Linked DNA regions of Macaca mulatta. The protein of the gene in region 1 interacts with the protein of each later gene in a pairwise test. Links are inferred from orthologs where the notes say so. Each region holds a gene or a part of one and is shown in the gene's direction. Other genes may lie near its edges.

What was found.
Region 2: the proteins of TRIM27 (region 1) and ABCF3 interact in binary tests that used the Homo sapiens proteins (3 or more experiments, as listed by UniProt). The two-hybrid records come from large-scale screens. The link is inferred for Macaca mulatta from reciprocal best matches to the Homo sapiens genes TRIM27 and ABCF3.
Region 3: the proteins of TRIM27 (region 1) and BMP7 interact in binary tests that used the Homo sapiens proteins (3 or more experiments, as listed by UniProt). The two-hybrid records come from large-scale screens. The link is inferred for Macaca mulatta from reciprocal best matches to the Homo sapiens genes TRIM27 and BMP7.
Region 4: the proteins of TRIM27 (region 1) and POLR1C interact in binary tests that used the Homo sapiens proteins (3 or more experiments, as listed by UniProt). The two-hybrid records come from large-scale screens. The link is inferred for Macaca mulatta from reciprocal best matches to the Homo sapiens genes TRIM27 and POLR1C.
Region 5: the proteins of TRIM27 (region 1) and ARMC7 interact in binary tests that used the Homo sapiens proteins (3 or more experiments, as listed by UniProt). The two-hybrid records come from large-scale screens. The link is inferred for Macaca mulatta from reciprocal best matches to the Homo sapiens genes TRIM27 and ARMC7.
Region 6: the proteins of TRIM27 (region 1) and OAS1 interact in binary tests that used the Homo sapiens proteins (3 or more experiments, as listed by UniProt). The two-hybrid records come from large-scale screens. The link is inferred for Macaca mulatta from reciprocal best matches to the Homo sapiens genes TRIM27 and OAS1.
Region 7: the proteins of TRIM27 (region 1) and STK25 interact in binary tests that used the Homo sapiens proteins (3 or more experiments, as listed by UniProt). The two-hybrid records come from large-scale screens. The link is inferred for Macaca mulatta from reciprocal best matches to the Homo sapiens genes TRIM27 and STK25.

What each region holds. Positions count from the first base shown.
Region 1 is NC_133409.1:154,415,123-154,419,689, forward strand, and holds the start of TRIM27 (zinc finger protein RFP), read left to right. Parts: upstream 1-1,565; 5' UTR 1,566-1,654; coding exon 1,655-2,074; intron 2,075-3,307; coding exon 3,308-3,403; intron 3,404-4,567. UniProt on the Homo sapiens protein: E3 ubiquitin-protein ligase that mediates ubiquitination of various substrates and thereby plays a role in diffent processes including proliferation, innate immunity, apoptosis, immune response or autophagy.
Region 2 is NC_133407.1:96,327,387-96,330,314, forward strand, and holds the end of ABCF3 (ATP-binding cassette sub-family F member 3), read left to right. Parts: intron 1-943; coding exon 944-1,032; intron 1,033-1,139; coding exon 1,140-1,231; intron 1,232-1,409; coding exon 1,410-1,542; intron 1,543-1,673; coding exon 1,674-1,761; intron 1,762-1,849; coding exon 1,850-2,008; 3' UTR 2,009-2,314; downstream 2,315-2,928.
Region 3 is NC_133415.1:110,054,998-110,059,579, reverse strand, and holds the start of BMP7 (bone morphogenetic protein 7), read left to right. Parts: upstream 1-1,594; 5' UTR 1,595-1,708; coding exon 1,709-2,126; intron 2,127-4,582. UniProt on the Homo sapiens protein: Growth factor of the TGF-beta superfamily that plays important role in various biological processes, including embryogenesis, hematopoiesis, neurogenesis and skeletal morphogenesis.
Region 4 is NC_133409.1:138,600,554-138,605,125, reverse strand, and holds the start of POLR1C (DNA-directed RNA polymerases I and III subunit RPAC1), read left to right. Parts: upstream 1-1,578; 5' UTR 1,579-1,599; coding exon 1,600-1,668; intron 1,669-1,795; coding exon 1,796-1,867; intron 1,868-3,826; coding exon 3,827-3,934; intron 3,935-4,192; coding exon 4,193-4,325; intron 4,326-4,572. Other genes in the region: protein YIPF3, read right to left, coding at 79-185, 373-579, 1,214-1,294. UniProt on the Homo sapiens protein: DNA-dependent RNA polymerase catalyzes the transcription of DNA into RNA using the four ribonucleoside triphosphates as substrates.
Region 5 is NC_133421.1:84,791,225-84,795,685, forward strand, and holds the start of ARMC7 (armadillo repeat-containing protein 7), read left to right. Parts: upstream 1-1,407; 5' UTR 1,408-1,480; coding exon 1,481-1,571; intron 1,572-1,654; coding exon 1,655-1,798; coding exon of another isoform or gene 1,799-1,830; exon of another isoform or gene 1,831-2,202; intron 2,203-2,503; exon of another isoform or gene 2,504-2,537; intron 2,538-4,461. UniProt on the Homo sapiens protein: As a component of the minor spliceosome, involved in the splicing of U12-type introns in pre-mRNAs.
Region 6 is NC_133416.1:120,168,855-120,172,671, forward strand, and holds part of OAS1 (2'-5'-oligoadenylate synthase 1), read left to right. Parts: intron 1-3,138; coding exon 3,139-3,368; intron 3,369-3,817.
Region 7 is NC_133417.1:146,790,816-146,793,899, reverse strand, and holds part of STK25 (serine/threonine-protein kinase 25), read left to right. Parts: intron 1-155; coding exon 156-264; intron 265-1,019; coding exon 1,020-1,177; intron 1,178-1,245; coding exon 1,246-1,449; intron 1,450-1,654; coding exon 1,655-1,800; intron 1,801-2,089; coding exon 2,090-2,204; intron 2,205-2,612; coding exon 2,613-2,684; intron 2,685-3,084. UniProt on the Homo sapiens protein: Oxidant stress-activated serine/threonine kinase that may play a role in the response to environmental stress.

The sequences.
Region 1 (4,567 bases):
TTATTCCTTTACTTTCTTAATAAACGTACTTTCACTTTGAAAAAATAAAATAAAAATCAAGTAAGGTCTGGAAGCAGAAGCCCGTATTGCTCAGATAGCAGGACAATATTGAGAAAATCTCAAAGAAAAGCAGGAGACATCAAGCAAGGGATAAGAAAGCAACTTAAAAATGCTGGAGGTCTACTGCATGATAAGACAACGAGTATTGTGGGACTCCAAGACCCTGGGTCACTGTAGGATTCTTAGTCTCTCTATACTTCAGAAAGGAGCAAGCAATTTTTAGTTGCTCCTCAATACAACAACCCTATGTAATGGGCATTTTGTTACTATTTTAATGGATAAACAACCTTATGGTTCAAAAAGTAAAAGATGTAACGAAATCTACTTCTTTACGGCGGTACAGTTATCATCCCCATTTCACACGAGGAGAAACTGAGGTAAATGAATGGTAAACCAACTTGCTTGGGCACAAGTGAGAGGTAGCAGAGCTGGGCTTGTTATTGCCACACAGAAATGTTACCATCTGATAATTAAACCTTTCTTTTTCTAAACAAAACTGCAAGTGCCTACAAATGGGTCTGTTTAATAAAAGGCCTCACCTATCAGGTGGGCTCAGACGGTGACCCTCCTCATCCTCCAGCCTCTTGGGGAAGCCAGATGTCTGCGCTCCCCAGCACCTATATAAAGCCAGCTTTCTTTCTTCTTTTCTTTTTTTTTCAAGACGGAGTCTCGCTCTGTCGCCCAGGCTGGAGTGCAGTGGCGATCTCGGGTCACTGCAACCTCCGCCTCCAGGGTTCAAGCGATTCTGCTGCCTCAGCCTCCTAAGTAGCTGGGACTACAGGCGCCTGCCACCACGCCCGGCTAATTTTTCTATATTTAGTAGAGATGCGGTTTTACCATGTTGGCCAGGATAGTCTCGATCTCCTGACCTCGTGATCCACCCGCCTCGGCCTCCCAAATGCTGGGATTACAGGCGTGAGCCACTGCGCGCGGCCAAAGCCATCTTTAGCAGGGGCTGAGACCTGGGCACCAAGAAGAAACCCAACTAAACACTAGGGGCCTGGGCCCGGCAGTCGCGGAAGCTTGTAGGCCCGGAGCGTGTGGCACCATCTGCTTTTGTGACCAGTCCCCTAGGCTAGAGCTTCGGCGCGACCCGCCCAAGGGAGAGTGGCGGAGCCTCCCAGGCCTTTCTAGAGAAAGCAGCCCGGGCCCCGAGGCCACGAAATCTTGTCACACACTAGAAGCGCGGGCCAAGCCCCGCCCCCCGAGCCGCCTCTTCCGCTCGCGCCGGGGTGGGGTCTACGCGGCCGCCGGGATCCGCTCGGACGCGGCCACGTTGTCTTGCGCGCTTTGCGCGCCTGGCCCTGGGATCCTGACCCTTGGCTACCCGTTCCTGCCCCAGTAGCGTGGCCGCGAGTCTCTGTGAGCCGGCTGTATTCCCGCACTCGCTCAGGGGGCACAGGCGCAGGGATCGGCCCGGCCACTCTGAGCCTTCGGTGCGCGGGCGCGTCTGGGATACGGGCCCGGGAGGCACCGCCCTCCGTCCGCCCGGTGCCTCCCAGGAACAGCGAACGGGAGAGAGCGCCGGAGAGTTGGGCTCCGTGCAGAGCTCGGCGCCGGGGCCCATGCCCGTGAGCCCCCGCAGGCCCGCGCCATGGCCTCCGGGAGCGTGGCCGAGTGCCTGCAGCAGGAGACCACCTGCCCCGTGTGCCTGCAGTACTTCGCAGAGCCCATGATGCTCGACTGCGGCCATAACATCTGTTGCGCGTGCCTCGCCCGCTGCTGGGGCACGGCAGAGACTAACGTGTCGTGCCCGCAGTGCCGGGAGACCTTCCCGCAGAGGCACATGCGGCCCAACCGGCACCTGGCCAACGTGACCCAGCTGGTGAAGCAGCTGCGCACCGAGCGGCCGTCGGGGCCCGGCGGCGAGATGGGCGTGTGCGAGAAACACCGCGAGCCCCTGAAGCTCTACTGCGAGGAGGACCAGATGCCCATCTGCGTGGTGTGCGACCGCTCCCGCGAGCACCGCGGCCACAGCGTGCTGCCGCTCGAGGAGGCAGTGGAGGGCTTCAAGGTGAGGGCGCGGATCCGGGAGGGCGGGAACGCGAGTCGGACAAAGGGAGGAGAGAGCCAAAGGGGCTTCCCTTTTTCCGCCTAGAAAATGGCTGAGCCGGACGTGTGGTTCACAGCCGTCATTTCCTCTCTGTCCGCCCCAGAGCCTCAGCACTCAGATTTGGAGGAAAACCTGTAGCTGGCGAGGGAGCCAGAAGTCTCCCCACCCCCACTCTCCTTTCTCTGTGTGCCCCCATGTTTCCTGTCTCACGGACACATTGTACACGGAGACATGCTTTTGACAGTATAAAAGAAGTGCATAAAATCGCTTGCACATCGACGAGCTGTAGAGACACATGTACTCTCGTCGGCTGTCAGACAAAACGCAGTCGGACATTAACTGACCGATGCCCATTCCTTGGTCTATAAGCATTTCCCCAGCACTTTCCTGCAATACGTCCTGGTCTAGAAACTCACAGAAAAGAACAGGCTCTTCACTGCTTAAGTCATTTAACCACTCTGAGACTCAGGAGATAACAGTTATGAGGAAGATTATGGAATCATGTGATGCACAGAGCCCTCTGTGAACTGGCACAGCTAAACAGAAACGTGGAAACAAAATATTACATATAAAACAGTTGTAAGGTGACCTTCAAGGAGTCCATGATACTGTGTATTTTCTGTATGTTGAGGGCTTCAGGAATTCATACACAATTATGTCCGTGTTTAAATATGAATACATTCATGTGTAATTAATCACTTAACATTTATGGACCTTTCAGCTATATTCTTTCACTTACTCTGGTGAGAACTCTTGAGTAGGTTGGGAAGATGGTGTTTGCCCATTTCACACATGAGGGAAATAAGAAGTCACTTTCACAGTATGCTTGTGTGGAAGAGCTACAATACAACATAACTCTAAGCCTCCTACTCCAGTCACAGTTCCGCTAAGTCATGCGATATCCTACCAGGGACAGGTAGATGATTCATTGTTTAAGATAGACACAAATAATCCTGACGAGGTAGCTGAGTGGTTGAAGCGACAGGCTGCTAAGATAGACACAAATTGCCAAATGAGTGGCTTGTTGGCCCCTGCGCCCTGAGTCTTTCTCTTGTGGGTGGCAGTGTGGCCTGAGAACAAGTGCCAACTGGATACTTGGCATCAGGTGTGTGGACTCCATGTGTGATTAGAAGTACCATGCTGATGCTAAGGTCTACCTAGTTTTGAACTGCCCATCTGTTTTGCTTTTCTCAGGAGCAAATCCAGAACCAGCTTGACCATTTAAAAAGAGTGAAAGATTTAAAGAAGAGACGTCGGGCCCAAGGGGAACAGGCACGAGCTGAACTCTTGGTAAGGGTTGTTGGAATTCACAGTCGCTTCTGCTGGTGCTCCCCTCTTCTGTAGAGCTGATGTTACTTCCCTTAGACTTGTCCAGCATGTCACCCAGAACCTGTAGGTAGAGGGGGATCAACTGCACATGGCAGTGGGAACTCACCCAGAGAACTAAGAGATTCCCTTTCTTTTGGGGAAAGCGTGGAGGAGCCAAGTTTGGAACCCTTGGAAATCAGACCTGTCAGTATAGTTTAACCTGCTAACTGCGTAGACCAAGGTTGATCCTTGGCAAAGCTGAGATGGGTAAAATTATTGGATACAGTTAGCTTGCGTTGTTACCATTCTTCAGACAAGTGCTAATAGTGGATTTGTGTAAGTCCCACTGTTGCTTCTCTTTGTGTTATTCTCCTTTCTTGACAATGCCTTAATTCTGAATTTTTTGCTCTGCTCTCTTCCTCCAATCTCTCAAGGCCTCGACAAGTGGCTGATGTATTAATTTATGATAGGGGTATATGGGAATTTTTTCTTTTTATTTCCGACAGGGTCTCACTCTGTCACCCAGGCTGGAGTGCAATGGCAAGGTTTCGACTCACTGCAACCTCTGCCTCACATTTCAAGTGATTCTCCCACCTCAGCCTCCCAGGTAGCTGAGGCTACAGGCATGTGCCAACACACCCAGCTGATTTTTGTATTTTTAGTAGAGATGGGGTTTCACCATATTGACCAGGCAGGTCTCGAATTCCTGACCTCAAGTGATCCACCTGCCTTGGCCTTCCAAAGTGCTGGGATTACAGGTGTGAGCCACTGCACCTAACTGGGAATTTTGTTTTGAAAAGAAAAAAAAAAACAAGGCAGGGCATGGGGGGGGGTGGCGGCTCACACCTGTAATCCCAGCACTCTGGGAGGCTGAGGTGGGCGGATCACCTGAGGTCAGGAGTTGAAGACCAGCCTGGCCATGGTGAAACCCCGTCTGTACTAAAAATACAAAAAATTAGCCAGGCATGGTGGTGCACACCTGTAATCTCAGCTACTCGGGAGGCTGAGGCAGGAGAATCACTTGAACCCGGGAGGTGGAGATTGCGGTGACCCAAGATCGTGCCATTGCACTCCAGCCTGGGCAACAAGGGCAAAACTCCGTCTCAAGAAAAAAAAAAAAAAAAAAGACAGTACAGAGACATTTAT
Region 2 (2,928 bases), on another chromosome or scaffold:
TGGCATCTACCTGGGATGGTATTGGGAGAAGTAAGTCCCCCCCAGCACTTAGCAAATACTCAAGTATTGCTCCCCTTAGTACATGTATTTTTCTTTTTTTTTTTTTTTTTTGAGACAGAGTCCCACCTTGTTGCCCAGGCTTTTCTATGGCACGATCTTGGCTCACTGCAACTTACGCCTCCTGGGTTCGAACAATTCTGCCTCAGCCTCATGAGTAGCTGAGATTATAGGCATCTGCCACCATGCCCAACTTATTTTTTGTATTTTTAGCAGAGACAGCGTTTCACCATGTTGGCCAGGCTGGTCTCAAACTCCTGACCTCAAATGGTCTGCTTGCCTCGGCCTCCCAAAGTGCTGGGATTACAGGCGTGAGCCACTGCGCCCGGCTAGAGTCCTTAAAAATATTTTTTTGGTTGTTGATGGAGTCATTGGGACTGGGGACTGCCTGAGACCCCTTCTAATTTCCTTCCCTTCTGTGTTACACACAGCGGTGCTCTTTTTATTGATACGTAATTATACATGTTTATGGGGTACAGAGTGATATTTCCATACATGTATACAATGTGTAATGTTCGAATCAGGGTAATTAGCATATTCACCGTAAACATTTATCACTTTATGTTGGGAACATTCAAAATCTTCTAGCTTTTTAAAAATGTACAATCAGTCATTGTGAAGTGTAGCGTCCCTGCAGTGCTGTAGAACCCTCGAACTTATTCCTCCATTCCTCCTATCTAGCTACAATTCTGTTTTGGTTAACCAACCTCTCCCGATCTCCTCTCTCAATTCCCCTCCTCCCCGCTTACCCTTCCCAGCCTCTAGTAACCAGAACTCTACTCTCTACTTCTATGTGCTAAACATTTTCTAGTGCCCACATATGAGTGAGAACTTACAGTATTTATTTTTCTGGCACACACTGTATGACGTTTTCACATTTCTTAAGGTTGGAGAGAATGGGGCCGGGAAGTCTACCATGCTGAAGCTGCTTATGGGGGACCTGGCACCTGTTCGGGGCATCAGACACGCTCACAGGTCAGAGGCACCCCCGCCCATGAGCACACTTGCAGGCACCCATGCTTCCTGCACTCCTTCATGGCTGTTGCCTTTGTCTGCTTTTCCACCTCGGTTTCTGTCTTCAGGAATCTGAAGATTGGCTATTTCAGCCAGCACCACGTGGAGCAGCTGGACCTGAACATCAGTGCTGTGGAACTGCTGGCACGCAAGTTTCCTGGTGAGTTGGGGATTTGAGTGGGGAAAGAGGGATGAGGCTGACCCCGGCAGCTAGACCTGCCTTGGAGTGAGTGCAGAGCAGCCCTCCCAAGCCTAGATGGGGACTTGGAGGTGTGGCTGGAGGGTACAGGGAGGGAGTTGGGCCAAGAAACCACCTGATCTGGGGAGTCCTTTTCCAGGGCGGCCTGAGGAGGAGTACCGTCACCAGCTGGGTCGGTATGGCATCTCCGGAGAGCTGGCTATGCGTCCTGTTGCCAGCTTGTCTGGGGGCCAGAAGAGCCGAGTGGCCTTTGCTCAGATGACTATGCCCTGGTGAGGCCTCATTTTCTAGAGCTCTTCCCCTCCCATTTCCCCTTCTTGCCCAGTAGAAAACTGTATCAGAAGGCTTTATTTTCTCTCACCACACCCCTTCACTGCCTACCTTCCTGGGTTCTGCCTTCCAGCCCCAACTTCTACATTCTGGATGAACCCACAAACCACCTGGACATGGAGACCATCGAGGCTCTGGGCCGTGCCCTCAACAATTTCAGGGTGAGTGTGCCTTCACCCTGCCCACTCCTCCCCAGGCCTCGGTGCCTCTCGTGTCCCCCTCAGCACCTCCTGCTCTCGTGTCTTTCAGGGTGGTGTGATTCTGGTGTCCCACAATGAACGCTTTATCAGGCTGGTGTGCCGGGAGTTATGGGTGTGCGAAGGAGGCGGCGTCACCCGCGTGGAAGGAGGATTTGACCAGTACCGCGCCCTCCTCCAGGAACAGTTCCGCCGCGAAGGCTTCCTTTAGGGCTACCAGGCTGAGGACTCGCCCAGGACATGGACTGGTCTCTCAGACCCCTGGGCCACCACATAGGCCACCAACTCCAGGCCGTGGACTTCCCCCAACTTGGGGACAGCCTTATTCCCAAATGTCTCTCTCCTTTTGACTGGAGCATCTTCTGCACAACCTTGGGAGCCCATCCAAGGGTTGGTGAGGACTGGTTTCCCGGGGGCCGGGGGTCTGGGGGTACCCTCTGGGGTTATAGGTTTCCCCACTGCCCCAGCTCTGACTGGACCCCAAGTGGCTGCTATGTAAATTAAATGTCTCCCTGCATCTCCTTTGCCTCATGTCTGCTGCTCCCTGGGCAGTGGTTGCCTCCTATTGAGGGCTATGGACTCTCAGATTGGCCTTTTCCTATGGCACTTGTATCACTCACGTGGAGGAAGCAATGGCAGCACCAGCCTTGCCTCTAGAAGAAACATTGTCAAGCTGCTGGGGCATTGAGGTCATCTGCCTGCCTGACCTTGGGGTGGGCTGAGCCAGTGGAATGAAGGGCAGTGTATTGGCATCACTGCGGTGCTGTTAGCCCTAGCCTGGGCTCAGCCTCAGCTGAAGGGGTCTTGGGTTCTGCCACCACAGCCCCCACTGATGGGCAGTTGAACTGATTCTGTAACCTGGCCTCACACGTGGCTGGCTCCTTTCTCCAGTGGTATCTGGCTCCGGCTTGCCCTGCTTCTCTGCTCTCTAGACTCAGCGCTGAAGAGAAACTGTCTTTGTCCTCACTTTGCTTAGGTGATTGCATGTTCTTTATATTTCCTCTAACCATGTAGGAGGGGCCTGGGAAATAGGGAATTTAGGACAGGGTCTAACAGGAAGACATAGAACGCTTTGTTTTCAAATTAAGCAATCTTTAAGAGGGGAGAGATGTTGAACAGAGATAGTATCAT
Region 3 (4,582 bases), on another chromosome or scaffold:
GGAGACAGGATGAACTTTTACCCTGCTGCCCTCACTGCCACTCTGGGTGCAGTAATTCCCTTGAGATCCCACACTGGCAGAGGGACCAGTAGGTTCTGAGTGGTCTGGGGACTCCCTGTGACAGCGTGCATGTCTCAGTATTGATTGAGGGATGAATAGATGAGGAGAGGCAGGAGAGGAGGCTGATGGGGAGGTCTCAGGCACAGACCCTTGGAGGGGAAGAGGATGCGAAGACCAGCGGCTGGCTCCCCAGGCGGGGAGGGCTGATGGGAACCCCTAGTGGTGGGGCTGGGGTGTCTGGTCTCAGGCTGAGGGGTGGCTGGAAAGATACAGGGCCCCTTAGAGGAGAAAGTGGGAAGAACCCCCCAGCTCAAACGAAGTTCACTTATTCACTCAACAAATCGTGATTGCGCAGCCACAGTGGCTACCAGGCGCTAGGTTCAAGGCACTGCGGGCACCAGAGCTGCGGAGAAGATCGCTGGTCCTGGCCTCAGTGCGCTGGGCGTCTAGCGGGGATAAGAAGGCAATAAAGACGGCACGGAGTAACTCAAACAATTCCAGACAGCAAGAGAAATTACAGGAAAGAAAACAAATGTACGTGGGGGTGAGGCGAGGAAACAACCTCAGCTTGGCAGGTCTTGGAGGTCTCTGGGAGAAAGCAGGGTCTGATGGGGGGCGGGAGGTGGTGAGCCGGGAGCCGTCCAGGCGGAGGGAATGGCGAGCGCAGAGACAAGCTGGCAACCGGTTCAGAGAGGCGCGGAGGGGTCAGCGTGGCTAGCTTAAAAGGAGACGGGGACTAAGGGGCAAGACCGCCTCAAGGGTCACCGCTTCCAGGAAGCCTTCTATTTCCGCGCCACCTCCGCGCTCCCCCAACTTTTCCCACCGCGGCCCGCAGCCCACCGGTCCCGTTCGAGCCGCCTTCCTGGTCCGGACCACGAGTGCCAAGAGGGCAGGGCCGGCTTGGATTCCTCCAGCCGCATCCCCGCGACGTCCCGCCAGGCTCTAGGCACCCCGTGGGCACTCGGTAAACATTTGTCGAGCGCTCTAGAGGGAATGAATGAACCCATTGGGCACAGCTAGGGGGAGGGCGGGGCCGAGGGCAGGTGGGAGGCCGCCGGCGCGGGAGGGGCCCCTTGAAGCCCGTCCTCCTCCTCCTCCTCCGCCCAGGCCCCAGCGTGTACCACTCTGGCGCTCCAGAGGCGGCCTCTTGTGCGATCCAGGGCGCGCAGGGCTGGGAGAGCGCCCCGGGGCCCCTGCTCTCCACGCCAGAGGTTGGAAGAGGGTGGGTCGCCGCCGCCTGAGGGCGAGAGCGCCAGAGGAGCGGGAAGAAGGAGCGCTAGCCCGCCCGCCTGCCTCCTCGCTGCCTCCCCGGCACTGGCTCTCTGGACTCCTAGGCTTGCTGGCTGCTCCTCCCACCCGCGCCCGCCTCCTCACTCGCCTCTTCGTTCGCCGGGGCTGCTTTCCAAGCCCGGCGGTGCGCCCGGGCGAGTGCGGGGCGAGGGGCCCGGGGCCAGCACCCAGCAGGGGGCGGGGGTCCGGGCAGAGCGCGGCAGGCCGGGGAGGGGCCATGTCTGGCGCGGGCGCAGCGGGGCCCGTCTGCAGCAAGTGACCGAGCGGCGCGAACGGCCGCCTGCCCCTTCTGCCACCTGGGGCGGTGCGGGCCCGGAGCCCGAAGCCCGGAGCCCGGGTCGCGCGTAGAGCCGGCGCGATGCACGTGCGCTCGCTGCGCGCTGCGGCGCCGCACAGCTTCGTGGCGCTCTGGGCACCCCTGTTCCTGCTGCGCTCCGCCCTGGCCGACTTCAGCCTGGACAACGAGGTGCACTCGAGCTTCATCCATCGGCGCCTCCGCAGCCAGGAGCGGCGGGAGATGCAGCGCGAGATCCTCTCCATTTTGGGCTTGCCCCACCGCCCGCGCCCGCACCTCCAGGGCAAGCACAACTCGGCGCCCATGTTCATGCTGGACCTGTACAACGCCATGGCGGTGGAGGAGGGCGGCGGGCCCGGCGGCCAGGGCTTCTCCTACCCCTACAAGGCCGTCTTCAGCACCCAGGGCCCCCCTCTGGCCAGCTTGCAAGATAGCCATTTCCTCACCGACGCCGACATGGTCATGAGCTTCGTCAACCTCGGTAAGGGCAGGCGGGGGTACGCGTGTCTGTTCGGGGGCACTTTGAAACCGGGAGGGAGGGAGCCGCTTCTTCTATACAGCCCGCCCAGCTTTCTGCTCCTGGTTGAAATCGCAGTGCCTGCCCGAGGGTCTCCCACCCACAGCCCTATGGCTCCCAAGCTGTGTGCGCCTCCAGGTCTGGCGCGCTGGGCTCGGTGGGCCTGTGGGGGTTACTGGGAAGGAGGGATCTTCGGAAGTCCCCTCCATGTTACGCCGCCGGCCGCATCTCTGGGACTGGAGGCGCCGGCCGTTCAAAGCGCGGGGCTTGGTCATGTGAGCTGTCCTGGGCTGGCGCGGCTCGCGCTACCTGGATGTAAAGGGCCCTTCCCGGCGAGGCTGCCTTCCCGCCCTTCCTGGGCCCCTCTCAGCCCTGCCTGGCCCTGGCATCTCGGCCGTCGCACTCCCTTACCCGCCCTGACAAGCCCTACCTGTCCCCTAGTGGTGCGCCCGCCTTAGCCTACCGCGCGCTCCGAACGCCTTGGGGCCCCTCTCCGGGCCGCCGGATGCCCCATTCTCTCTTGGCTGGAGTTGGGGAGCTTGCTAGTTTGCGTTCTTTTATTTTTTCTTTTTTTTCTTTCTTTTATTTTCTTTTTTTCTTTTTTCTTTTTTTTTTTTTTTGAGACGGAGTTTCGCTCTTCTTGTCCAGGCTGCAGTACAATGGCGCAATCCCTGCTCACCGCAACCTCTGCCTCCCGGGTTCAAGCGATTCTCGTGCCTCAGCCTCCCGAGTAGCTGGGATTACAGGCATGCACCACCACGCCTGGCTAATTTTGTATTTTTAGTAGAGACTGTGTTTCTCCATGTTGGTCAGGCTGGTCTCGAACTCCCGATCTCAGGTGATCCTCCTGCCTCAACCTCCCAAAGTGCTGGGAATACAGGCGTGAGCCACAGTGCCCTGCCTCTAGTTTTCTATTTTAAATATTTAGTGGTAGGTCTCAGGCCGGCAGAATCCATTTTCAGCATTTATCACGTGTGGCGCGCAAACCACAGGTTTTGGCGATTGGGTTGCGCGGGATCTCCGAGCTGACGCCGCGGGGGCGACTGGGGGTCCCGGTTTACGATTGGAGCCGCGACGACCCCGGGGACGCGAGCCTGGGGCTGCGGCGAGGGCCGGGGAGCTCCCCCTCCGTCTGCGCGCACTCATTCTCCAGACTTGCTCAAACTAACCCCCGGCAGCGCTCTGCGGGACTGATGATCAAATATTTGGTTTCCGAGATAACACGCCCGGATAGCGCTGTTTCCTGAGCGCTTTCATTCTACTTGTGTAACTTGCTGCGAAAACCCGAACCAAGTCAAGACAGCAAACTCACGCCCACGGGCGCTGTGTCAACATGGAAATAATGATACTGAAGCCCCACGCTGGGCACCTGGGGCGTGGACTGGGGGCGCGGGGAAGCGCAGATCCGCCTTCATGCTTCCCCCTCCTGATAAGGTCCCTGGAGTTCCCGGGGAGGCCATTGTCTGTACTTAATAACCAAATCCAGCTAGTGAGCCAAGCTTCAGCGAGCAAGGGGTGGGAGGTTTAGATGCCAAAATACCTTCAAGAAAGTTTAAATTATACTAAGCAGCCAGTTAAGAGGGAAGCAGCAACATATGACCTGATTTAGAACCATCTCCCAGATGCATGAGGTGGAAAGAAGCAAGGTGCAGGTGAGCGGCCTGCATGTATGCTTTTGTGTATCATCGTGTCCTCCTGGAGGAAGACACCAGGAACTGGAGATTTTACTGGAGGGCTAGAGAGGTGGGGGCACAGCTGGGGCTTAGGGAGTGGGAGCTGGGGTCTAATGTTTCATTGTCTGCACTTCTGTATTGGTGATTTTTTTAAAAAAACAATGCGTATTTATTAACTATACCAAAAACTAAAGGAAAATTCCAAATACATACACACAAATAATGAACGCAGAGCTCTGTCGCCCTCCTGAAGCCTGGGGTTAGCCAAGGCCCTTTCTCTGGTGGGGGATTTATGGCATCTTCCATTCTGTTGGGTACCCTGGACTCCCACTGAATGTGCAGATCCCAGCGGCTGCCTTCAGAGCCTGGCTGGGGTCATTAAAAAGGTATTTGTAATCTCCGGCTTCTGTAGAAGGCCCTGCAAACCAAGAGCAAAAAAGCTGCCACTGCTTATGGGCCGGCGGTGTGGGCTAGGCCCCAGGGGCTCCCTGTCCCCCAGAGAAAGACCAGCTTGCTCGGAGGGTGCCTCTGGGAACCTTGGTGCTGGCTATTTGCTTCCCCCATGGCGGCAGGAGCAAGCTGGGACTTGTTTGGGAAGGCCACAGCTGGGTGGTTTTCCTCCTCTGGCTGTACACACACCTTTCAATCCATTTCTTTCATCTTGAAAGGACAAAGACCGGCTTGTCTGAGCCTCTTAATCAGTCAGGCTGGCTTTGGGCTTTGTGGGACCCTGACTTTCTCAGGTCT
Region 4 (4,572 bases), about 16 Mb from region 1:
AGGGCTTGAAATCTGATTGTAGTGTGCATAAAGGACTAGGTGTTAGGAGGGAAGCTTCTTCAAGAGAAGGCTCCTCACCTGCTCCGCACCTGAGCAGGCTCCACATCAAAGTACGGTCTGAGGATGTCGATGTTGGCGTACAAGCTGAAGGCCCTGGAGGCTTGTCTCTTCCCGGCCTGCCACATCTGAAGTAAGGAAGATGGGCATAGGTATTGTGGGACTGTTGGTTCTAGACCCTGTTGCCTATTTTCCGCTTGATTTCTACATGGTTCTAACTGGACAACCTGGGGCAAACATCACCAACACCAACTCCAGAACATGGGACATACCTAGGTATACCTTTCCACCTGCAGAAGATTCAATCATGCTTACCTGATCTGCCACCTGCCGGCTCAGCTGTCCCTTAAAGCCTTTCATGCCCAGGAACTCTCCATCCTCTTCTTCAGCAGCAGCTGCATCAGCTGCATCAGCGTCTACTTCTTCCTCGCGCAGGCGCTGATGCAGCTCACCCATATCCTCGAAGCTAGAGCCTGAGGTATCATCCATGTTCTCCATGTCAATCACAGCTGAGCCTCCGCCCTGTGAAGACAATGGCTCCTAGAGTGCAGGACTTTTCTGTTCCATCCATTAAGTCCTCTGCTCATCCCAGGGTTTAGGGCTTTGTTCTTCCACTGCTGAGGATACGGCTCGGAATCACTACAGATCATGCCACTCCATTCCCCCTCATATGCTCTCAGAACTCTTGGTTTCTAGCTTTGGCTGAATTTTCTAGCCTGGGAAACATACTACTAGTCTTCCATTCCTGTCTTTTTCCTACCTTACCTACCAAAGACTAAAAGGCTGAAAAAGTGCCCATTTCCTTCTTTCCTAAGCCCCAAACAAAACTATACACATAATATGTTTTCAGCGAATGCCAGTGAATCCCACCCAACCCCACTCCATGCCTGACCCCGACCAACTTCCTAACTTGTTCCAAGAATACCTTCTTCCTAATGCCTCGAGCGGGCCCAGAGACCCGAGACCCTCAGGCTGGAGTACTAGTCTGGCCCTTTCAGGTCAATGTTAATCCTACTGACTTTAGTGTGCACGAAGACCCAAAGAAGAGAGTTTTGCAAATGGAGCGGACTTCCAGGCCCACAGGAAGAATCCTCAAGACACTTCTGGACATCGCTGGCCCTCGGGTTGCTGGCAGCTAGTGCCTTGGGGCCATTACCTGGATGTTTTCTTCGAACCCTCCCCATTCCGGGCCAGCTCCATTTCGGGCGCCGCCCGCCGGCGCCGCTGTAGTTGCCATGTCCCTTGAAGGCTCCCGTCGCTGAAGCCCGCGCTAGCCCCGCGCGCGGAGGAGTGGGCGAGACGTGGGCCTTAGTGAGGGAGACGTCCCGGGTCGAGGAGAGGTGGGATCGGCCGGAACACAAAAAAGAGAAGCCCGGATGTTTGGACAAAACCAACTTCCGGAGGCTGGGGACGTGGACGGAAGCGGGGAAAAGTCTCGCGATATTTAAGATTCCAGGCGGTGGCGCGTTGCCACGGAGACGGAGCCAGTCTACTAGGACGCACGCGCCAGATAGAGCCTCCAGTCTCGTGGAGAGATTGAAGATGGCGGCTTCTCAGGCGGTGGAGGAGATGCGGGGCCGCGTGGTTCTAGGGGAGTTTGGGGTTCGCAATGTAAGCCTTGTGGCCTTGAGCTCGGGCGGGAGGAATGAGAGCGGAACAGGGGTGGGTCTTGGGATTGGCGTGGGGATAGCCGTGGGCTCATTGTCCCTTTGTGGACAAACTCGTCCCTTTGCTCTAGGTCCATACCACTGACTTTCCCGGAAACTATTCCGGTTATGATGATGCCTGGGACCAGGACCGCTTCGAGAAGGTAAGTGGGGCCGAAGTTGTCTGGGGAGGGTTATGAAGGCCAGACCCTGTGGCCTGAGCAGCCTGTGTCTGTCTCAGCAGCTGCTTTTGGGGGTCGCTCCGTTTGTGTTTGTTGAGCAATGTGCTAGACGCTCCGTTTACAGGCCAAATTAGACACGGTTTCTATCTCTGCAGAGATATTCCGTCTTGTTGAGGAATGGTGCGTATAAACAAGTGCATCTAGTGTAATATGGTGAAGGTGGTTGATAGCGATGAAGACGGCAGGGTTGGGGTGGGGAGCATTCCGCTGAGACCAGGAAGAGGGGCCGAGAGGTACTTAACATTTCAAGAGGAGGGGACACCTGAATTGAACCTTGAATGGTAAGTAAAAAAAAAAACAGGAGTTGAATTATGAAAGATTTGAGTTTCACGTCAGTGAAGTTCAGGATATGCAGGTTTTGTGTGTATTTAGTCTTTTGTATTATTGTTTCACTTAGCTTAAAATAAGGGTTAAAATTGCATTTAAATAGATTACTGAATGTTACTCTTTATGCAACTGACCTAAATGTTACCCTTTATGCAGCTTATAAACATGATGTGTAAATCAGTGCCTGGGAAAATTTTACTTTTTTAACCTGTTGATACAAGGAATAAAGTATGAACAATGAAAAAGGCTAATGCTTGAAAAAAAATTATGACTTCTGTGACATGTGCTCCGGGAATGTCCAAGTAGTTCTGGCATGAGTGGTCGGCAAGATTGAAGTGTGTCACACTGTGGATGATAGGGAGCTTGAATAGTTTCTTAAGCAGACATGATCAGATTTGCAACCTTGATGGCTGGGAGGGAATGAGTTTGAGGAGGATCATATGGAGCAGGCAGATCTGTTGTAAGGGAAGCTGAGGTTGAAGATATGAACTAAGACTGATGGTAGAAATAGAGCAAAGGAAGAATATAAGGTAAATTTATGATTGCTTGGATAAAGGCTGTGGGGGTAGCATAAAATGACTTTTTCTGGCTTGGGAACTGCTTTTTGCTTTGTGGTATCATTTACTAAGAGGAGAAATGGGTCTGGGGAACAGGGATGATGATGCATTGTTTTCTGTATGTGGGGAAATCTAGCAGGCTAGAAGACTGCATGCTTGAAATGAGATCAGAAGTGAGATAAAATTTTGGGAGTTGTCAGAACAGATAGTTGCTAAAACTGTTAGTACAGTTAAGGTGACCTGGGAGAGAGACAAGAACCTGGCAAATTTAGAGATGGGTGGAAGTTGATCATCAGAGATGGAAGAAGAGTGGAGCTCAGAAACCAGGGGAATCGTTCAAAAAAGGGGATTTTTTTTTTTTTTTTCCTTTTCATGAGACACTCTTATCTCCCAGGCTGGAGTGCAGTGGTGCAATCTTGGCTCACTGCAACCTCCGCCTCCTGGGTTCAGGCAGTTCTCCTGCCTCAGCCTCCCGAGTAGCTGGGACTACAGCTACGCGCCACCATGCCCAGCTAATTTTTTGAATTTTTAGTAGAGACGGGGTTTCACCATGCTGGCCAGGCTGGTCTCAAACTCCTGACCTTGTGATCCGCCCCTCGGCCTCCCATAGTGCTGGGATTACAGGTGTGAGTCACCGTGCTGGGCCCAGAGGAGGTTTTTTAATCAATGTCAAGCATAACAGAAGTCTAGTAAGAGGACTGGGTAGTGTCAACAGGACTAAGCACTATGGTAGTTTCTGTTCTTTAGTGGAATAGCTTCTGTGGATGGTTTGGTTGGAAGCCATATTGCATAGGGTTTTAATGAATGGACGACAAAAATGGAGACTTTTTATGAAACTAAAGCACTGGGCGAGAAAGAATATTTAATAAGGGACATCTGGGCAAAGGGAGGTTTTTGGATGAGAGGATAATACTTGAGGGAATTATCTAAGGGGGAGGTATGAAGAGATATTACAGAGAGAGCAGGTTTCACTTAAATGTTTTTCCTGTCCCTCTAGAATTTCCGTGTGGATGTAGTACACATGGATGAAAACTCACTGGAGTTCGACATGGTGGGAATTGACGCAGCCATTGCCAATGCTTTTCGACGAATTCTGTTAGCTGAGGTATTGGCAGGCATGGTGACAAGGCTGGAGTTGCTTTGGGAACTGCACTGACACCTCACTTGGAGAATTGTCTCAAGCTGTCCTTCCCTCATTTTTCCTGGAATTTTGCTGAGCATTTTACCTTCTCATTCTTTGTAAATTTCTCATTAAACATTCTAGGAAGAGAGATAGCTCCTTACCTCTGGAGGGTGGGGTTGTGGGGATAGGTAGGGGGTCTGTTGGGTTTTTGCAGATAAGTGGTTATTTTTCCTTGGGCAGGTGCCAACTATGGCTGTGGAGAAGGTCCTGGTGTACAATAATACATCCATTGTTCAGGATGAGATCCTTGCTCACCGTCTGGGGCTCATTCCCATTCATGCTGATCCCCGTCTTTTTGAGTATCGGAATCAAGGTAAGAAAATGAAATTTTGGGAGAAGTGGACTGTCTGGGTTCAAATCCTGGTTGACTGTGATGTTGGGTAAGTTACTTATGTTTGTACATCAGTGTTTTTCATCTGTGAGAACACTTGCCTTGGCTTCCCAAGTTTGCCGTAATTAAATGGGACACATATGTAAAGCATTCAGCATAGTGCTGGCACTCAGATGTTTACTAGTTCTTTTTTTTTTTTTCTTTTTTTTTTTTTTTGAGACGGAGTCTC
Region 5 (4,461 bases), on another chromosome or scaffold:
GCAGATGGCCATTCAAAAGTATGTTTTGTGCAAGGTTGGGGTTTTTGCAGAATCTTTGTGATAGTTTTCATTATCAGATATTTATGCATGAGAACCCTCTTGTCATGGTTTTCTCCGACTCTGTCCGGGTTTTTTTGTTCTGTTTTTTTAACACAAGTGACTCCAATTAGATTAACAACTTTTGCATTCTCAGGACACTCACAGCCTAAGCCACCTCTCTACCCCTACGTTGTCAAACGCGATGGGAGTGTAGTAAGGCCACCTCCTTCCCTGGTGCTTTGTTCCCTGTAACCACGAGTAGTAATCCATCACACACCTGCTTCCCGAGAATCCTCGAGAAGGAATCGGCCGAAGGGCTTCAGCATCCAGAAAGCCCCGAAAGCGCCACAAACAAGGCTCTTCCTCCGGCTCCCCGGTGCTGCCCCGGGCGCGCGCCATCCACCCGGCTGACAAAAAGCACCAGGACATGACCCCGTCCCCTTTGATTTCTGTCCAGAGGTGGCGGACTCACCTCGGGGCTGGGATAGAGGACGGGTCGGGGTCGCTACGCTTTTTGCAAAAGGGTCAAAAGACTGATGGGGGTGGGTAAGGAGCTGACGCCCGCGCTCTAAAGGGGCGCCCCGCCAGCCATGGGGATCCTGGAGGTGCTTCTGCCTCGACGTCCTCCCAACATGGGTGCTGCCAGACTCCGTTGCGCTCCTGAGTTGCTCCTCACGTCATTCCAGCCGCCCGACATGGGTGCCTCACTTTCGGCTTCTGGGCCACGTCGGGGCGGCGGAGGACCCGGGGGGCCGGGCGGGAGAGTGGGAAAGGTGGGGCGGGAAAGCCGAGAGAGGCCCTCACCCGCCTTCCTGTTGGCGGGGGCGGCAAGTGGGTTTCTTTCTTGCGTTCAGATTTTGCAATAATTTGCAGCTGGACATAGGATATGGGAGACAAGGCTGCTCCTCGCAGTACACCCACCCACGCCCATACCTCCCTCGGCGAAGCGTGTCGCAGCGGGTTCCAGCGCAGGCTAAAGAGCTTCCGCAGCCAGAAAACCGAAAGCGCGCCGCGCACGCGCGCCAAGGAGTTCGGCGACGGCCCCGCCCTTCGCCTGCCTCGTCCCGCCCCTTCCGCGCCTTGTAGGGTGGGGACAGCGCGGCTTCCGCCGGGAGCCTGGAACCGAGCCCGGCAGCCGGGGGCTGGGCGCCAGTACCCACTCCGCCAGCCCCAGCCCGCAGACGGTTCCCTGTCTCCCGCGCCCCAATTTCGATTTTCAGACCCAACTCCTACAGGATTCTGAGACCCCGGCCCATCTCCCCACATTCCATTTCCAGCTGCAAATTACTGCAGAGTCTGAACCCAAGAAAGAAACCCGTTTGCCGTCCCCGCGTCTTCCCTCGCCAGACAGGTGGAGAGTGGGTGAGGGTCTCGCTCGGCTTTCCCCCTGCACCTTTCCCACCCGCCCGCCCGTCCCTGGGGGTCCTCCGTCACGCCGGCCATGGCCCAGAAGCCGAAGTTGGACCCCCACGTCGGGCGTTTGGGATACCTGCAGGCGCTGGTCACGGAATTCCAGGAGACCCAGAGCCAAGGTGAGAGCCACGGTGGGACCAGGTGACAGGGTCGGCTGTGACCGCCGCCCGGACCTGGCTCCAGTGCCGCTTTCCCGTTGCAGACGCCAAGGAGCAAGTCCTCGCCAACCTCGCCAACTTCGCTTATGACCCCAGCAACTACGAGTATCTGCGGCAGCTGCAGGTCCTGGATTTATTTCTCGATTCGCTGTCGGAGGAGAACGAGACCCTGGTGGAGTTTGCTATTGGTAAGGGCTGGGCCCGTTCGCTAGATGGCTAAATGGGCCGGGGTGAGGTAAGTGAGTTACAAGTGAGTCCTTGGGGCCTGGCGTGGTGGCTCACACATGTAATCCCAGCACTTTGGGAAGCCGAGGCGGGGGGATCACCTGAGGTCAGGAGTTCGAGACCAGCCTGGCCAACATGGCAAAACCTCGTCTCTACTAAAAGTACAAAAATTAGCTGGGCATGGTGGCGAGTGCCTGTAATCCCAGCTAAGCGGGAGCAAAAATTAGCCGCACACAGTGGTGTGCACCTGTAGGCCCAGCTACTCTGGAGGCCGAAGCAGGAGGATTGCTTGAGTCCGGGAGGCAGAGGCCAAAGTGAGCTGAGACTGCGCCACTGCACTCCAGCCTGGGCGACGGAGTGAGACCATGTCTCAAAAAAAGATGTTTTAAAAAGAGCAGTTTTGTAGCCAGGCGCGGTGGCACACGCCTGTAATCCCAGCACTTTGGGAGCCCGAGGCAGGCGGATCACCTGAGATCAGGAGTTCGAGACCAGTCTGGCCAACATGATGAAACCCCGTCTCTAACTAAAAATACAAAAATTAGCCGGGCGTGGCGGGCGCCTGTAATCCCAGCTACTCGGGAGGCTGAGGCAGGAGAATCACTTGAACCCGGTAGGCAGAGGTTGCTGTGAGCCGAGATGGCGCCACTGCACCCCAGCCTGGGCAACAGCGAGACTCCGTCTCAAAAAAAAAAACAACAACAATTTCAGGTGGGTGAGGTGGCTCACACCTGTAATGTCAGCACTTTGGGCGGCCGAAGCAGGCAGATCACTTGAGTCCCGGAGTTCAAGACCGGCCTGGCAAAAGCCCATCTCTGCTAAAAAAAAAAAAAAAAAAAAAAAAATTAGTCTGGCGTGGTGTCCCAGCTACTCAGGAGGCTGAGGTGGGAGGATTGCTTGAGCCTGGAGGACGAGGCTGCAGTGAGCTGGGATTGGGCCACTGTACTCCAGCCTGGGTGACAGAACGAGAATCTGTCTTAGAAACAAAAGTAACTCATATTTAGTGTTTTCATATCAGGAGAAGCAGAGATGGCTTGCAGTCTGTAACTTACGGCTTCTTTTGTAGTTATGATCTTAAGACCTATTGATTTATTCACTGGGCAGATATTTACTGGGCATGTACCGTATATGTAAACTACTGCTCTAAATGCTGGAGTATGGTGAACAAGTTAGGGGAAGTGTTTGCCCCTCAGGAGCTTACATTCTAGTAGGGGGGACAGGTGGTTAGCAAACAAAAAAGATGATGCTCAGCAGCAAATAAATGGGGTGATGAGAAACAGCAGTAGAAGGTGGTGGTTACTTCTGTTTTGGCCATCATGAGAAAGGCATTTTAGCAGGGACACAGCATGGGCAAAGGCCTTAAAACAGGAAGGAGCCAGAAGGAAGATGAATGTGGCAGGATCGTTATAGTGAAGTGGAGAATGGCACAAAAAGAGGATAGAGAGTTAAGCAGCACCAGAGCTTGCCGGAGCTTAGATCTAGGCCGTGGGAAATAGTTTGAAGCAGACAAAATTTTGAGAACAAACAAAAATCCCTTTTTCAAGCCATGCACAGTGCTCATCTGTAGCCCCAGATAGGAGGATCGCTTGAGCCCAGGAGTTTGAGGCTGTAGTGTGCTACGATTGCATGATTGCACCTGTAAATAGCCACCGCACTCCAGCCTGGGCAACACGCGCGTGATCACCTGGCTGAAGTCTTGTCAGGCTTCTCCACTGTAAAATTACTCTTTCTTTCCCCTCTTTACGTATTATGTATTATACCCATTGGAAGGAAGTCACTACATAAATTATCTTAAATCTTTTTCTTTTTTTTGAGATAGGGTCTCACTGTGTCACTTAGGCTGGAGTACAGTGGTGTGATCATAGTTCACCATAAATTTAAACTTCTGGGCTCTAGCAGTCTTCCTGCCTTAGCCTCCCGAGTAGCTGTGACTACAGGTGGACACCACCATGCCCGGCTTTTTTTTGTTTTTAATTTGTTTTCGAGAGGATCTCACTGTGTTGCCCAGACTGGTCTCGAACTCGGCTTTTTTTTTTTTTTTTTTTAATTTGTTGTCGACACACGGTCTCACCGTCTTGCCCAGACTGGTCTTGAACTCCTGGCCCCAAGAGATAAATCGCTTGTAACCCTAAACAGACCCTCATTTCATAACACTGATTCTTGAAGGCCCCAACCAGGAATGCAAATGTTCCCCCTTCCGGTTTGTCTCATTGCCTCTTTGTGGTTTGTTTCTTTATCCCCTTTATTTCCTATAATCTAGAAATTGGGTTGAAAGTCTTGATAGGATCAAGTAACACATTTTATTTTATTTTATTTTATTTATTTATTTATTTATTTATTTTTTGAGACGGAGTTCGCTCTGTCGCCCAGGCTGGAGTGCAGTGGCGCGATCTCGGCTCACTGCAAGCTCCGCCTCCCGGGTTCACGCCATTCTCCTGCCTCAGCCTCCCGAGTAGCTGGGACTACAGGCGCCCACAACCGCGCCTGGCTAATTTTTTGTATTTTTAGTAGAGACGGGGTTTCACCGTGGTCTCGATCTCCTGACCTTGTGATCCGCCCGCCTCGGCCTCCCAAAGTGCTGGGATTACAGGCGTGAGCCACCGCGCCCGGCTATTTTATTTTATTTTAT
Region 6 (3,817 bases), on another chromosome or scaffold:
AAGTCAGTTGCCAGTCTTTACTGCAGCTCTTTTGTAGGTAACCTATCTTATTCCTCTGGCTGCATGTAAAAGTTTTCTCTTTGTCTTTGATTTTGTTTAGCTTCAGTCTGCTGTGTCTTAATGATGGGTTCCTATTATTTGTCCTGATAGGGATTCCTTTAAGAGTCCTGAATCTGTGGATAGATATCTTTAATCAGTTTTGAAACTTCTGAGCCATCCTTCTAAAAGATTGATTCTCCCTCATTCTGTCCTCACCTTCCGGAATTCCAATTAAATGTATGTTAGATCCTACTCTATCTTTCATATCTCTATACTCTCTTCTGTATTTTTCATCTTTTTGTCGATTTTTCCATGCTTTATTCTGAATAGTTTCTTCTAATCTACCTTCTAATTAACTAATTTTCTCTTTAGCTATATCTAATTTGCTGTTGCACTATTAATTACAGTTGCCATTTTTATCCTAAAATTTCTATTTCATATTTTTGTATCTACCATGTTACTTCTTATGGCTTTTAATTCCCTGCTAACTATTGAAAGTTCTTATTTTATCCTGTGAATATGATATTCCTACTTATTTTATTTTTAATTTTTATTATTTATCTTATGTTTTATTTGCACTTCTTTTCTGTGACATGAGCACACACAGATTCATGTGTATACATATATGGCTCTGATACCTGATACCTCTCCTTTCCTGTCCTCATTCAAACCGCTGATCACAGAGAGACAACTATGTTTTTTTAATTTTTCTATTTCAATAGGTTTTTGGGGGAACAGGTGGTGTTTGGTTACATGAATAAGTTCTTTAGTGGTGATTTCCGAGATTTTGGTACACCCATCACCCAAACAGTGTACATTGTACCCAATGTGTAATCTTTTAACCCTTGCCACCCCCCACCTTTTCCCCAAAGTTCCCCAAGTCCCATGTATCATTCTTATGCCTTTGCTTCCTCATAGCTTAGCTCCCACATATGTGAGAACATACAATGTTTGGTTTTCCATTCCTGAGTTACTTACTTAAAATAGTAGTATCCAATTCCATCCAAGTTGCTGTGAATGCCATTATTTTGTTCCTTTTTATGGTTGAGTAGTATTCCATGGTGTGTGCATGAGTATGTGTGTGTTTAACATTTTCTTTATCCACTCATTGATTGATGGGTATTTGGGTTGGATCCATATTTTTGCAATTGCAAATTGGGGTGTTATAAACATGTGTGTGCAAGTATCTTTTTTGTATAATGACTTCTTTTCCTCTGAGTGGATACCTACTAGTGGGTTTGCTGGATCAAATGGTAGATCTACTTTTAGTTCTATAAGGAATCTCCACACTGTTTTCCATAGTGGTTGTATGAGTTTACATTCCCACCAATAGTGTAAAAGTGTTCCCTTTTCCCCACATCCAGACCAACATCTATTTTTTTTTTATTTTTTATTATGACAACTCTTGCAGGAGCGAGGTGGTATCACATTGTGGTTTTGGTTTGCATTTCCCTGATAATTAGGGATGTTGAGCATTTTTCCATATGCTTGTTGGTATTTGTATATCTTCATTTGAGAATTCTCTGTTCATGTCCTTAGCCCACTTTTTGATGGAGTTGTTTGTTTTTTCCTTACTGATTCGTCTGAGTTCTTTGTAGATTCTGGATATCAGTTGGATGTATAGATTGTGAAGATTTTCTCCCATTCTGTGGGCTGTCTGTTAACTCTGCTAATTATTTCTTTTGTTTTGCAGAAGCTTTTTAGTTTAATTAAGTCCCATCTATTTATCTTTGTTTTTGTTGCATTTGCTTTTGGGTTCTTTGTCATGAAGTCTTTGCCTAAGCCAATGTGTAGAAGGGTTTTTTGGATGTTATCTTCTAGAATCTTTATGGTTTCAGGTCTTAGATTTAAGTATTTGATTCATTTTGAGTTGATTTTTATATAAGGGCAGAGGTGAGGATTCAGTTTCATTCTTTTACATGCAACTTGCCAATTATCCCAGGATCATTTGTTGAATAGGGCGTCCTTTCCCCACTTTATGTTTTTGTTTGGTTTGTCGAAGATCAGTAGCTGTAAGTGTTTAGCTTTATTTCTGGGTTCTCTGTTCTGTTCCATTGGTCTATGTGACTATTTTTATACCAGTACCATGTTGTTTTGGTGACTATGGCCTTATAGTATAGTTTGAAGTCTAGTAATGTAATGCCTCCAGATTTGTTCTTTTTACTTAGCCTTGTTTTGGCTATGTGGGCTCTTTTTTGGTTCCATATGAATTTTAGGATTGTTTTTTCTAGTTCTGTGAAGAATGATGATGGTATTTTGATGGGAATTGCACTGAATTTATAGATTGTTTTTGGCAGTATGGTCATTTTCACGATATTGATTCTACCCATTCATGAGCATGGGATGTGTTTCCATCTGTTTGTGTCATCTATAAATTCTTTCAGCAATGTTTTGTAGTTTTCCTTGTAGGGTTCCTAGTTATTTTAAAGTCTGTTTCAGTCTTTCAATATTTAAAGTTTTGTAAGTTTATTACTATTTCTCTTTTTTTCTGTTGGTCATAACTCTTAGTGTTTTGTTTCCTTTTGTGCCTGGTTGCATATGTGCTGGTCATTGTATTCGAAAATTATGTGTGAAATAATTTCAGGTTTTGGATTATGTATACTCCTCCAGAAAGAACTTCATTTGCTTCTGTGCATTTCTTAGCAACATTACAAGTCCTTCTTCTCAGTTAATTTTCATAGTATCCTTATAAGATAGGTGCTATTATGACCACTCACTTAGCAGATGAAAATAATGAGGTCTGTGAGTCTAAGTCATCAACTTAGAATCGGACAATGGTGAAGCCAGGATTCAAACTCACATCAATAAGAATCCAGCACTCTTGACAAAGGGCCAGCACACTTTTAAAAAAAAAAAAACAAAGGGCTAGATAGTAAATATTTTAGACTTTGTGGACTGCACAGCCTCTGTTGCAGCTACTTAACCCTGCCTTTGTAGCATGAATGCAGTCATAAACTATACATAAATGAATGAGCCTGGATTTGTTCCAAGGAAACTTTATAAAAACCGGTGGCAGGCTGGATTTGACCCATGAGAAATGGAGTTTACACAAAAGTTGAGCAAACCAATTTTTTTTCTGATTGTTTTTCCTCTTCTTAGTGTAAGAAGCAGCTTGGGAAGCTACCACCTCAGTATGCCCTGGAGCTCCTGACAGTCTATGCTTGGGAGCAAGGGAGCATGGAAACAGATTTCAACACAGCCCGGGGATTTCGGACGGTATTGGAATTAGTCATAAACTACCAGCAACTCTGCGTCTACTGGACAAAGTATTATGACTTTCAAAACCCCATTATTGGAGAGTACCTGAGCAGGCAGCTCAAGAAACCCAGGTATGCTATCCTCACATGGCTTAGCTCCCCTATGTAAATGAACACCTGGACACAGGTACAATGCCTTGGAAATGGAGAAGGTGGGAGGGCTCCCCACTTAGTGAGAATCTCCTCTTGCCTGTCATTCATACTGGGCATTTTACTACTGCCACCTGATTTAAACACCTACCTCAAACCCTGTGAGGCAGGCACTATCATTTTATAGGTGAGTAAACTGAGGTTCTGAGAGCTAAGGAGCTTGTCCAACCCTTAACAGAAAATGAGTAAAATAGCTGGAATTTGAACTGAAATAAGAACAGCAGCAACAACAATGATAGTAATTGCTCCCAGGCATTGAAAGCTTGCTGTAAGACTAACACATGCTAATATAATAGTAAAAATTATTATCAATATTACTGACATGTATGTTATGTTGTAGTCACTGTGCTGAGCATTTCACATAACTGGGC
Region 7 (3,084 bases), on another chromosome or scaffold:
CCCACTCCCGTCTGAAAGTTGTGTTTGAGAAGTAAAGGAACATGAAGCCCCCAGCTATCTGCAGGGACAGCCCTCCCCTGTCAGAGAGACAGGAGAACTCAGGCATTGGGCCTGGGACAGGAGCTGAGGCCCTGCTGTCCCACCTTCCTCTCCAGCTTAAACCAGGTCCCCTGGAGGAGACGTACATTGCCACGATCCTGCGGGAAATTCTGAAGGGCCTGGATTATCTGCACTCCGAACGCAAGATCCACCGAGACATCAAAGGTCCTGCTGGGGGTGAATGTGGCTCTTGTAATGTCCTGAGCCCCACTGACCTTAGAGAGGCTGGGGCCTGTGAGGGGCAAGTGGCTAGTGGTGCCCAGCGTCTGGGGTATAGAGAACCCTGTGGCCACCCTGAAACTGAGCAGTTGTCTTGCTCCATTTCCAGAAGATACTGTTTGTAACAGTTTCCTTGTACGCTGAGTAAACCAGCTGTGGACTGAGTGTAGGAACAGCCACGCTTAGCCAGAGTTGTTGGTTCCCGGTGGCTCACAGCACAACAGCAGGTGTAGGCTTGAGTAGCCCCAGCGTGTGGTCTGGCCCTGCTAAGTGCAGACATGAGGTTGGGCCAGCCTGTGGGGAGGGACTTGCCACCGGCACCGAGTCATCTCTCTCATGTAGGGGACAAGTCTGGTGGAGCAAGGGGCTTCCTGGCAGGCCCATGGTGGCCACACCCTTGATCAGGGTCACCTCTGTGGTAGCCCCCAGTGGGCGAAGTCACCTGTCGTTGGGATTTGTTGTAAAAGCCAAATGCAGGGAGAGCCCTGGAGCTCGGAGTGGAGACCTTAGGCTCCTTCTGGCAGTGCCCCTGTGGCCCTAGGTGGCCCTGGGTTTGAGAGTGGCAAGGAGGGCTGAAGTCCTGAGGACAGCCCTGCTGTGCCCTAGGAGGCCAGGTGGATGATACCCTGGCCCTTCTCAGGGGGCCCTGGGTGGAGCCACGTGGAGCCTGGCATGACGTCTGCCTGTCCTGTGTCAAGCAGCTGCCAACGTGCTACTCTCGGAGCAGGGGGATGTGAAGCTGGCGGACTTTGGGGTAGCAGGGCAGCTCACAGACACACAGATTAAGAGGAACACGTTCGTGGGCACCCCCTTCTGGATGGCGCCTGAAGTCATCAAGCAGTCGGCCTATGACTTCAAGGTGGGTGCAGTGGGTGGGCGGGCGGGTGCGGGCACCACGCCTGACTGGGGTGCTCAGGGCAGCGACAGTCCTTGTGTTCTGTCCAGGCCGACATCTGGTCCCTGGGGATCACGGCCATCGAGCTGGCCAAGGGGGAGCCTCCAAACTCTGACCTCCACCCCATGCGCGTCCTGTTCCTGATTCCCAAGAACAGCCCTCCCACACTGGAGGGCCAGCACAGCAAGCCGTTCAAGGAGTTCGTGGAGGCCTGCCTCAACAAGGACCCCCGATTCGTAAGGCCCGCCTCTGGCCTGGCCCCTTCTGGATGGGCATATGGAGGGAGGGCATTTGCTTGGGGTGGGCAGCACAGCCCGGAGGCCTAGGCCCCCCAGCCTTGTAGCCGTGAGGACCTGCCCCAGTCCAGGCTGCCTCACATTTGCTTTCCTGAGGCAGAGCTTGGCTGGGCCCAGTGACCGATGTTCCCCTGACCCCGCACAGCGGCCCACAGCCAAGGAGCTCCTGAAGCACAAGTTCATCACACGCTACACCAAGAAGACCTCCTTCCTCACGGAGCTCATCGACCGCTATAAGCGCTGGAAGTCCGAGGGGCATGGCGAGGAGTCCAGCTCCGAGGACTCTGACATGTAGGGGCCTGGTTTATCCTCATGGTGACCCTCGGTGTTGTGACGTGGGTGGTCCCCACTCCAGAAGCAGGGGCGTGGGCTCTAGGGGTGAGAGTGACCAGATATAGTATTGGGCAGGGACCCCCTTAAGGCTACAGGACAGGGCCTGCTGAGGCATCAGTTGGACTCCGTGGCCTGGCAGAGCGCCGCCCAGTACCTCGGGTTTCCCTTGGCCGTGAGGTGTGCCCTGAGGCCCTTGTGCCTCCTGGCTCTCCCCCCACTGACCCTGGCAACTCTTCATCCTCTTCAGTGATGGCGAGGCGGAGGACGGGGAGCAGGGCCCCATCTGGACGTTCCCCCCCACCATCCGGCCGAGTCCACACAGCAAGCTTCACAAGGGGACGGCCCTGCACAGCTCACAGAAGGTCTGTTCCCGGCCTGGCCTCTGCCTGCTGTGCACCCCTGGGGCTGGGTGCGGGACCCAGCTTTGTCCACCCAGTGTCTGGGGCTTGGACAAGGAGCTTGGGAAAGGCAGGGGTGGTCTGAAGCCCACTGTGGCACTGGGCCTGGTGTGGAGACCCCAAGCCCCAGCATGTGCTGGGAAGATGAGGGCCTGTTAGGAGCCAAATTTGTGAGGAGAGGGTGGGTGGGAGTTGTAAGCCCTGAGTCAGGCCATCTGGGTGGCTTGATGGTTTTGGGGCCAGCCCTGGGCATGTGCCATGACAGGCTGCTCCCAGTCTCCATCCCTTCAAGGCTAGAGCCTGAAGGGATGGGAGTGCCCTGCCTGTCGCCTGCACTGCCCTGCTCACCCTGGGCCTCCACTTCCTTTGCAGCCCGCAGAGCCTGTCAAGAGGCAGCCAAGGTCCCAGTGCCTGTCCACGCTGGTCCGGCCTGTCTTCGGAGAGGTGAGAAGGGGGCTGGGGCTGGGGCTGGGGCTGGAGCCCCGCCAGGGACGAGGCTGGGACGCTGCTCCGCGGGGATGTCCCCTCACAGTGCCGTGGGGCAGTCTCAGCTTCTAGGTTTCCTGCAGCTGATTATGGGCTGGGTTTCCTGAGTAGAAGGAGCAGAATCTGCTGTGATGACCTTTTGTACTCCCAGACCTGCCAAGGTCCTCTGGGTTCCCAGAGCGACTTTTGTTTTCTTCAAGTGCAAACACAGATGACCCTTCTATAGAGAAAGCAGAGAAGATGTAGTCGGGGTCCATCCAGGGCAGGTGCCTCCCTGGTTAGTCACATGACCTTGCATCAGCGTCACCTGCTAATGGGCAGTCGGCACCATTCTCAGAGATGTGATGCAGCCAGGAGC